Saccharomyces cerevisiae S288C: one gene and its partners. The gene in region 3 interacts genetically with the main gene of each other region. Each region holds a gene or a part of one and is shown on either strand. Other genes may lie near its edges.

Region 1 (3,078 bases), on a different chromosome or scaffold from region 3:
TTGAATTAACATTGAATTAATAGATCTTTAACGTAACTTCTTCCGCTAGTTTCGCAGTAGTATCTTGTTTCCTAGCCTGGAGCTATGAAGTATACTGTTTGGTCACTTTATTCAGTTACTATGGTTACTAAAATTATAAACCACCCGTTCCGACAACGACAATGAAGATCTATTTTGCAAATTTGGAACAGAAATAACCATAACCATGAGGTTCGTTATCGTTGACTACATATTACAATCCGAAATGAACATTCGGCCTAGAATGCATTGTACCTTTACAATACTTTGTAAAACATCTTTCAATGTGTATTTTCCTAGCTTAGGTAACACAACTAGGTAACTTATTGGGATGGTTGAGTCTTAAGTGCAGGCCATTTATTATCAATACTGAATCTTGTATGTTTTTGTCAACTCTTGACAGAAAGCTTCAGTCAGCGAAGCAAACTTTCGACCTTCTGTATCATATTTTTCTGCTCTATTTATAGCGAAAGAGAGAAGCCTACAAGAGGATAAGTACTAATCTTGTGATTATTGATTTTCTCCAAAGATTGGGAAAATTACTTAGTTGCACAGCGGAAATGTTTCGATCTCTGACTTTGTAATCGTCAAAATATTCTAGCAGAGCGCAACTTATTTAATTCATACTGTGCGTTCTCCTTGTGGTTTCTAAGACAATCTTTGAGCATGTTTATGGATGCACTTAGGGGTCCTACAAGCCTTCGTATGAAGTTGCCCCTCGCAAGCACACTATAAATTCATGAACAATTGCGCAGTCAAAGTTAGATTGTAAGCCGAATTCAAACGATTTCAACAGTCGTAGCTAACGAGGCCTTTTGTCTCACACCCTTACAAAGGGACTGTAGAATGCAAGGGCAAACAGGCCTGAGGTAACTTTAAAATATAATGTACCTTGAAAACTATGTATACATTGCATTTATTAAGCAGTAGGGTATTTTGTTTGCAAGAAAATAAAGCTCAAAATATCTTTGGAGTTTGACAATAGTATAGAAAAAATAGCTCAGCAACCTTAATAAAAAAAGGGTCATTGGGCAAAGCGTTTTAAAAAGATTTAAGTGGTAGTGTTTAAAGTGAAAGAGATTGATATAGTTAAAAATTGTTGAGCTCAATTCACGCTGGATTCGGCGATCCGTTTTCTTCAATCCTCACGTGCTTTCTTCGTTTGAGTGCAAAAGTTCATATGATGCTATCTCCCGCTTATCTTATTAGTCGAAAATGGGGAGAATTTCCTATTTTATCTGTCGTTTAGCACATATGGCCAGGAAAATACATAAGGTTTCGCCGAACGACGGGGTCAATTCGTCCTTTTTGTACACATCGTTTAATTTATGAGGAAAAATTGATGAATGTATCCTCCGTAGACGCTCCTCTGAAAAGTTTCATGTTTCCTGCGCGTTCCTTTGATAGGCAATAAAACAATACAACGCGTGCCTTTGAAAATGCCAAGATCTATACGAGGCCTCTAACAAAACATCGTTCAGGAACAGAGAATGCTAGAAATGCAAAAGGGTCCCTGGGTACTCATTGAATAGAAATGATTGAAAATACTGCGTATAAAATAGCACGACTAAATGATACTATTTTTATGTCGACACGGTACTATTTCTTCTTTTTCAGATAAAAGTGTAGCATACTAAATATATACCCCAAGTAATGTCTAGAATTAGTATATTAGCTGTCGCCGCAGCATTAGTGGCAAGTGCAACCGCCGCATCCGTGACCACCACTCTATCCCCTTATGATGAAAGGGTCAATTTGATTGAATTGGCTGTTTACGTTTCTGATATTGGCGCCCATTTATCTGAATATTACGCTTTCCAGGCTTTGCATAAGACTGAAACATACCCACCTGAAATTGCCAAGGCTGTTTTTGCCGGTGGCGATTTCACCACCATGTTGACTGGTATTTCAGGTGATGAAGTGACCAGAATGATCACCGGTGTGCCATGGTACTCTACTAGATTGATGGGTGCTATTTCCGAAGCACTTGCGAATGAAGGTATTGCTACTGCAGTACCAGCTTCTACCACAGAGGCTTCTTCCACCTCCACTTCAGAAGCTTCTAGTGCCGCCACTGAGTCTTCTAGCTCCTCTGAAAGTTCAGCAGAGACCAGCTCAAACGCTGCTTCCACCCAAGCTACTGTTTCATCTGAATCTAGCTCTGCTGCAAGCACCATTGCAAGTTCTGCTGAAAGTTCTGTTGCAAGCTCTGTTGCAAGCTCTGTTGCAAGCTCTGCTAGTTTTGCCAATACCACAGCTCCAGTTTCTTCTACATCTTCTATCTCAGTCACTCCAGTGGTCCAAAATGGTACTGACAGCACCGTCACAAAGACTCAAGCTTCCACTGTTGAAACTACCATAACTAGTTGTTCAAATAACGTCTGTTCAACTGTGACTAAGCCAGTCTCCTCCAAAGCTCAATCTACAGCTACTTCTGTCACATCGTCAGCATCTCGTGTTATTGACGTTACCACTAACGGTGCTAACAAGTTCAATAACGGTGTTTTCGGTGCCGCTGCTATTGCTGGTGCCGCCGCTCTATTGTTATAGTGATCATGTGCGGCCCTGTACAGTTGTATAAATGATGTAAAATAATTGAATTCTCTTAATTTTAATATTTATAAGATATATACTATAAGCGTAAGGAAATTCCAAAGAAATTTGTTTTTTAGTTTGCAGTCTTGTGCTCCAACTATTTCCGGTCCTTTTCGAATTTCATGTCAGGAGCATTCCTTATTGCAGACAGCTTAACAGAAAAAAAACTGTGAAAAAAATAAATACCTTTAGATATTAAAGCCCTAAATTGATATCAAATTTTTTCCATATTTGGATTTTGTATTCCTTAAAGCCCACATCCTGTGAACGGTTACGCTCAAATAATGGCCAAGTAACCTACGATCCAATAGCGACGTATATATATCATATAGAAAAAGGTCATCCAGAAAATTTGTGTCAATAAGTATCAGGTCTTTTATATGTATTTATATTATTTTCCGTCAATTTTCAATCTTGCGCCCATAGTTTCAATTTTCTTGTCTGTTGTGATTCCTGATTGGACAT
Region 2 (3,256 bases), on a different chromosome or scaffold from region 3:
CGATTATCCATACGATACTGTGCCGAATCAAGTGGAGAGAATATTCAAGGCGCAGCAATTGCACGATCGAAAGGCTTTCTTGGAGGCCTCCATCAAAGGTTCTACTCCTGTTGATTATTTAAAACCAATTATCGCGGACGCAGACATGGGTCACGGTGGCCCAACGACTGTAATGAAAGTTGCTAAGTTGTTTGCGGAGAAAGGGGCTGCTGGTATTCATCTTGAAGATCAGATGGTGGGAGGCAAAAGGTGTGGCCATCTAAGTGGGGCTGTTTTGGTGCCCACAGCAACACATCTTATGAGATTGATTTCCACCAGGTTTCAATGGGATATCATGGGGACAGAAAATTTGGTTATTGCAAGAACAGATTCCTGTAATGGTAAGCTGTTGAGTTCAAGCAGTGATCCGAGAGACCACGAATTCATTAGGGGTATAATAAGAGATAACGTGGTGCCTTGGAGCGAAAAATTGATTGAGATGGAGGACAAAAAAATTCCCAACTCCGCCATTGCTGACATGGAAAAAGAATGGTACCATGAAAATGAGCTGTTTACATTTGAAGAGGCCTTAGAAAAGCAGTTTACGGCAAGCGAGTTTGAAAGCTATAAAGAAAAGAAGGAAGACCTTATGGTAAACAAGCTGGGTAGAGCATACCTAAGCTTAAGAGAAATGAAACTTTTAGCTCAAGAAGTGACACCACTAAAGAAAATTATATTTGACTGGGATGCTCCGAGGACCAAAGAGGGATATTACATGTTTAACGGTTGTATTGAAGCAGCTATTAGAAGATCTTTGGTGTTTGCCCCATATTCTGATATGATTTGGCTGGAAACGAAAACTCCTGACCTGGAGCAGGCACGCTCATTTTCAAGAAAAATTCATAAACAACTTCCAGCTACCAAGCTAGTATATAACTTATCTCCTAGTTTCAATTGGAGCGCTCACGGCTTTGATGATAAGGCATTAAAATCCTTCGTATGGGACTTGGCAAAAGAAGGCTTCACGTTGCAACTGGTTTCCCTTGCCGGTCTGCATTCAGATGGAGTATCATTCTGGGAATTAGCCAATAGCTTCCAAAGTGACGGAATGAAAGCATACGTCGAAAAAGTGCAAAAACGGGAAAAGGAGACTAATTGTGATATCATGACACACCAGCTATGGTCTGGTGCAGAATATGTTGATTCCTTAATGAAAGTTGTCCAAAACGGTGCTTCATCCCAAACTTTAAGTACATCTGGTGAGAGCTTTACCGAAACGCAATTTTGAATACGCTTCAAGAAGATAAAAGTATAAATAATACATATTGCCAGCAACTTAGTCACATATCTCTTTTATCTCTATTTATCCTCTTTTTATTAATTTATGACCACGATCACTATATTTAGTTCGAAAGTTAGTGTTTGTTTTGCCAAGATATCCTCGCAGAAACAGTTTTACTTAAAGTTTCAGGTGTTGCGTGGAATGCCCCTGCTAAGCTGTCGTGTCGCGCTCTTCCCCGCGTTTGTTTCACATTATATATCATATGGCGTATGACGGTATGGGTGAAAATAAGCGTAGGCTGGTTGTGTGTATTTCTCTCGCACTTTGAAAGGGAAAAATAAAAATAGAGTCTATTAGGAAGCTCACATATGCCGGGAAAAATTACGTAAAGCATCAAAAGGGAAAGAAAATATAGGGAAAGATAAAACAAAAAGCAGAACGGTATCAGGCATTCTTGTTTTAGCCTTTATGTACGATATGGCGTTTATTATGGAGAATATTGAGGTATTCAACTATTTAATACTTGCTATAAATTCTGCCAAACTACTAATCATTCCGTTTATATAACTCAAGAAAAGAGAAATACAGAAACAAATAGATCAGATGCATTTCAAAGATTTAGGATTGCATGACTACACTCTCAAAAACTTGATGTATGAGAATAATTGCTGTAAATTTTATGATGCCGTGGATGAAAACAACATCTCATATGTTTTAAAATTTGTTCCCTCAGATGTGACTTCGGAAGGGGATACTTTCCCATTCGTGGATCGCTTTCAAGTAAAGGAAGGTGTTTTTTTGGTATATTCCTCAAATGACTTTGGAAAAGAAGGTACGGACTACTTTACTTATACTGGTAGTGGTGGAAATGAGGTTCACATCTCGGGCACCTCTTCAGAAGCAGGAATAAAACCGCAGTTTATTGAAACTTGCCATCCAAAACATCTTAAGCGGGGAACAAAAGAGCAGGAAGATATAAATAGTAGTACCTCAAAGAAAAGTGCAGTTATCAACAATTTTTCGGGTGAAAAAACACCAAATCCAAGGCCACAGAGTTCCAACATTTCAGAAAGAGAGACGTATGTCGGAATATTGAACGTCAAATGTAAAAATAAGAACTCATCGAAAATACGAAGTGAAAAATTGGTAAGCTCCGTCATCGAAACAAAGCATACGCCAGGATTGGCATCTATTTTATCGAAAGAAGGCACTACATATCCGAATAATGCGGACGGGAAACATATCAGTATCGTGAATCCATCCTCAAAAATATATCATTCATCCCATAAACAGATTGTTAAAACGCCTATCCCTAAGAGTGGCCTTTCTCCAATTGAGAGATGCCCTTTCAATGGTCAAAATATTAAATGCTACTCACCAAGACCACTAGATCATGAAAGTCCCCAACGTGATTTCAATAATAACTTTCAGCTGAGAATACTGAAGAGCTCGGTGTTGCAAAGGAGACAATCAACACAGAATAGTTGAAAAATTCGTTGGTACTAGCTTCGGGTCGGTTAGCTGCGCTGCTATGCATTTGTTAATATCTCCATCGAATTTTTGTTGTTTCGTTCAATAACTTTATTACTTCCCCCTTGGACTCTTTCGTTCTATCGTTCTACAAGTCCAGCCAAAATTTTTCCCCTCTTCCTTTTCTTTTGTTCACTTCTTAGCTCACTTATATAATTATATACTGATATTTGGATTCTTTTGTTGCAAATATGCTCTCCCAGATTTTTCTGTTGAGATGATTCATGCTTTACATGGATTGAGCATTAGAGAGTAACTATATCCAATTTCGTAAGACGAGTATCTACTTTCCCTTGTCCCCAGTAACCTCAGGAACGTGACAACTACTTTTCTTAAACTGTCAACAGCCAATGATACCGTATTCAATGCATGTCTTGGGATTAAGCCACTTTGATTGAGTTCCGTATTAGTAGTGAGAATTAAATCTTGCAAGATATAAGAATTACTCAACAGAGACGAGATACT
Region 3 (4,240 bases):
GAAGTCAAACTTATTCGAGGAATCCCAAAACCCGTAGTTTAACAAACATTTTTCATTAGAAATATTACCATAATTATTAAACAATTCATCCTGTGCACTAAATGTGGTAGTCTGCGACATGAAACAAAGTTCATTTTGTTCATTCATCTCCCATCTTACTGGTACATCGTTTTTATGGTTTAATAAATCTACTATTGGATACAAAAATCCTTCGTTCAGATTGGTGCGGTCTGTACCGGCCCTGCCTAAAATGACACGAGGAAATGCCCTAGAATTAAAGATGCAGTACGACCAAAGATACGCCACGAACGAGTTCCATTCCGAATCTTCTAGTTTACATCCATTGATGTGTGCGCAGAACTGTTCCAACGGCACTACGGCAGAGTCTTTATTCTCCTGGAATAAAGACAAGAACTGCTTATCTTGAGAAGAGTGTTCAATAGATAAAGCTTGGAACAGCATCCTCCACTCCTTTACTAGTTTGTTCAGCGTATCTCTCATAGTTAAGTACACGTCTGTACCATGCAAATTCATGACTTCATCAGTAGACCAAAAATATGGTTGTGGAAGGTGCAAGGGTAGCACATCTAAATATGGTTTGTAAAAGGATTTCAGGTGAACTGCATCGGTGCCAAATTTCAACTTTGACAAGTACAACTGTGTCACGGAATTCAAAAGACTCCTTTCATTAGCAGCCTGGGAAAATTCTGATAAAGCTTGCTGGGAAGTGATCAGCAGAGTTTCGGGTACCCTAATCAAAGCTTGGTCGGGTTTGGGAGAGAATTTTTCGTTTACAAATGCACTAACACCAGCATCCTCTGTAATCCTAAAAGAGATTTTCGGATCGATGAAGGCTCCATTATTTTGAGCCCATTGTAAGCAGTTATCTAGCTCAGTTTGGGTGATCATGCAGAAGTTCGTTAATTAAATGACGAGGTAGCTTCACCAAGCTTGATTCCTTAGTCTTTTTTACTTCCATCATTTCTTCTTTGTTGGAATGGTCAAGTTCAAGTTGAAAAATTTTCTTTTTCATAGTCAACTCATCGCAGGCACATTCGCCTTGAACGAACAACGAGCAGGACTCCAATAGAATAATAGTAATAGATTACAGGCCTATACAATCAAGACAACTATCAAGGTGGGGAGGGTTTCCACCTGTAACTTCCGCTGACTAATGATACATATTATCTGATCGGAAGCCAATGAAAGATCCCCTAAATATCACGCATGTAAGCGACCGCGATGAAGCGTACTGGCAGCTCTATCACGAAGCGATGGAAAAATACACCTGCGAATGAAAATCCATCAACAGAAATGAGAAGACAATTGTATATTATCATTAACGTTCATCTTTAGGACTTGTTCTCTTACGAAATTTGTGTGCCTGTATTTGTTAGAAAGCCACATATGTCTTGGCCTTTTTCACTTCTTTCCTGTTTGGGATTGCAAATTTATCAAAATGCACCCATAAAAGCAGGTGTGATATAACAAGCACATATCGTTAGGAAAATAGTGTCAAAGAGAAAAAAAGGCCAAGCAAATCGGAGTACAGTTTACATGAAGTAATGCAAGATGCATAGAACTGAAGATTTCAGGAATAATTGTATATAGGGGAGGAAACATTCGATAGCTCTCTTTTTGCTTTCGTTCACTATATCTCTTGTTTTCTTTCTTAAAAATATATGGACAGTAGTTCAAGCCACTGCATAGCAACGTACTAATGGAGTCTGTTCACTCTCGCGATCCTGTTAAGGAGGAAAAGAAACATGTCTTCATGGGAATGGAACACGAGTTGAATCCTGAGACTCATAACGATTCCAACTCCGACTCATATGGTCTCCCTCAGTTATCTGAAAAATACAATGCCTTGAGACAGAACAGGAGCCTAATTATCCAGCAGACTGAAATCATTGGCTCTGCTTACAATAAATGGTACTTACAAGCGATTTTACTTTTGAGTGCTTTCATATGTGGCTACGGTTATGGACTGGACGGTAACATCCGTTATATTTACACTGGTTACGCCACATCATCCTATAGTGAGCATTCTCTGCTGTCTACAATCAACGTCATTAATGCTGTGGTCAGTGCCGCTTCGCAAATCATATACGCTAGGTTGTCTGATGTGTTTGGTAGACTATACCTTTTCATTAGTGCTGTCATCCTATATGTTGTGGGTACAATTATTCAATCACAAGCTTATGATGTTCAAAGATACGCTGCAGGTGCCATTTTCTACAATGCTGGCTATGTGGGTGTAATCCTTATTCTTTTGATTATCCTATCCGATTTTTCATCTTTAAAGTGGAGACTGCTGTATCAATTTGTCCCGACTTGGCCTTTTATCATCAACACATGGATTGCTGGTAATATCACTTCCAGAGCCAATCCTGTTGTCAACTGGTCTTGGGATGTAGGTATGTGGGCTTTCATCTTTCCCCTATCATGTGTTCCAATCGTTTTGTGTATGTTGCACATGCAATGGAGGGCCAGAAAGACTCCTGAATGGCACGCTTTGAAGGGCCAGAAGTCCTATTATCAAGAACATGGTTTTATTAAGATCTTAAAGCAATTATTTTGGATGTTAGATGTCGTTGGTGTCCTTTTGATGGGTTGTTCCCTAGGTTGTATCTTGGTCCCACTGACCTTGGCTGGTGGGGTCAAAACTACCTGGAATGATTCAAGATTGATCGGCCCCTTTGTTCTTGGCTTTGTTTTGATCCCTATCTTATGGATTTGGGAATATCGATTCGCTAGAGATCCAATTCTTCCATATAGGCTGGTCAAAGATAGGGCTGTATGGTCTTCTATGGGTATTTCTTTCCTGATTGATTTTATTTACTATATGGCCGCTGATTATTTGTACACGGTTATGATTGTTGCCGTCAATGAATCCGTTAAATCTGCAACCAGAATTGCCACATTATCTTCATTTGTCTCTACTGTGGCCTCTCCATTTTTCGCTTTACTTGTAACAAGATGTACGAGATTGAAACCATTCATAATGTTTGGATGCGCGCTATGGATGGTGGCTATGGGTTTATTGTACCACTTTAGAGGTGGAAGTCAGTCCCATTCAGGTATTATTGGTGCATTATGTGTCTGGGGTGTGGGCACTACTTTGTTCACTTACCCAGTTACCGTCTCTGTACAATCTGCCGTCTCTCATGAAAACATGGCGACAGTTACAGCTTTAAACTATACCCTCTATAGAATTGGTTCTGCTGTCGGTTCCGCAGTTTCCGGTGCCATTTGGACTCAGACTTTGTACAAACAAATTTTGAAGAGAATGGGTGATGTTGCTCTAGCCACAACTGCCTACGAATCTCCATATACTTTCATTGAAACCTATACTTGGGGTACCCCACAAAGGAATGCCTTAATGAACGCTTACAAATACGTTCAAAGATTGGAAACTATCGTGGCTTTAGTATTTTGTGTTCCATTAATTGCATTCTCCTTATGTCTAAGGGATCCTAAATTGACTGATACTGTTGCTGTGGAATACATCGAGGATGGCGAATATGTCGACACGAAAGACAATGATCCAATTTTGGATTGGTTTGAAAAACTTCCATCAAAATTCACTTTTAAACGGGAATAAGTTGATGTTTACGTTGCATGATTGCTTGATATCACTTTCCATGACTATATTGCCCAAAATATACGGTGTCACCTCCTACTTTTTCCTCTCTACAAGACTCTACCATTCTAATGATCATAACCAAGAAAAGAAAAGATCAGAAATGTCTAGTTCTTTGCATATTCCTTTTACCATAACAGTATATGCATATCTACATGTATAGTGCGGCACTACTTAATATTACGTAACAGAGTAATATCTTTACTTCTTTTGTTCTGCCTGTTTATAACATCGATTGGCCAGTTGTCTCAGCACTTGCTTCATAACAAGTGAAAAATTAGAGGCGTTGAATAATTATGTACCTTGACTTTGAAGTCGGTTATCATAAGTGCTTCGAGAAGAGATATAAAGACAAGATAAAGTGTTATGTCAACTATGGTGAAAAAGGAAGGGAAGACAGGCGGTCGCTGAATCTTAAATCCACTCGCCTTTTTTTCTTTGTTTTTCCTTGGCAAGCCTATCCTTCCAGTCGGCTAAGCCCCATTCCATTCAGCTTGTAAAGAGATAGTATGATTTACTTGTAGTCTGGGATGACAAGAGTAGAATACTCGCAGTGATCACGGTTTGCTGCGTGTGTTCACTAATTATGATGTAATC

Evidence for each region.
Region 1: mutations in ARN1 (region 3) and DAN1 together harm fitness more than expected from each alone (negative genetic interaction), as found in Saccharomyces cerevisiae (one large-scale study listed by BioGRID).
Region 2: mutations in ARN1 (region 3) and HAL1 together harm fitness more than expected from each alone (negative genetic interaction), as found in Saccharomyces cerevisiae (one large-scale study listed by BioGRID).

The regions. Positions count from the first base shown.
Region 1 is NC_001142.9:708,301-711,378, reverse strand, and holds DAN1 (Dan1p), read left to right. Parts: upstream 1-1,671; coding exon 1,672-2,568; downstream 2,569-3,078. Other genes in the region: YJR149W (putative nitronate monooxygenase), read right to left, coding at 3,005-3,078. UniProt on the Saccharomyces cerevisiae protein: Component of the cell wall.
Region 2 is NC_001148.4:565,280-568,535, reverse strand, and holds HAL1 (Hal1p), read left to right. Parts: upstream 1-1,864; coding exon 1,865-2,749; downstream 2,750-3,256. Other genes in the region: methylisocitrate lyase ICL2, read left to right, coding at 1-1,267. UniProt on the Saccharomyces cerevisiae protein: Involved in salt tolerance.
Region 3 is NC_001140.6:18,452-22,691, reverse strand, and holds ARN1 (siderophore transporter), read left to right. Parts: upstream 1-1,720; coding exon 1,721-3,604; downstream 3,605-4,240. Other genes in the region: EFM1 (protein-lysine N-methyltransferase), read right to left, coding at 1-909. UniProt on the Saccharomyces cerevisiae protein: Involved in the transport of siderophore ferrichrome and so has a role in iron homeostasis.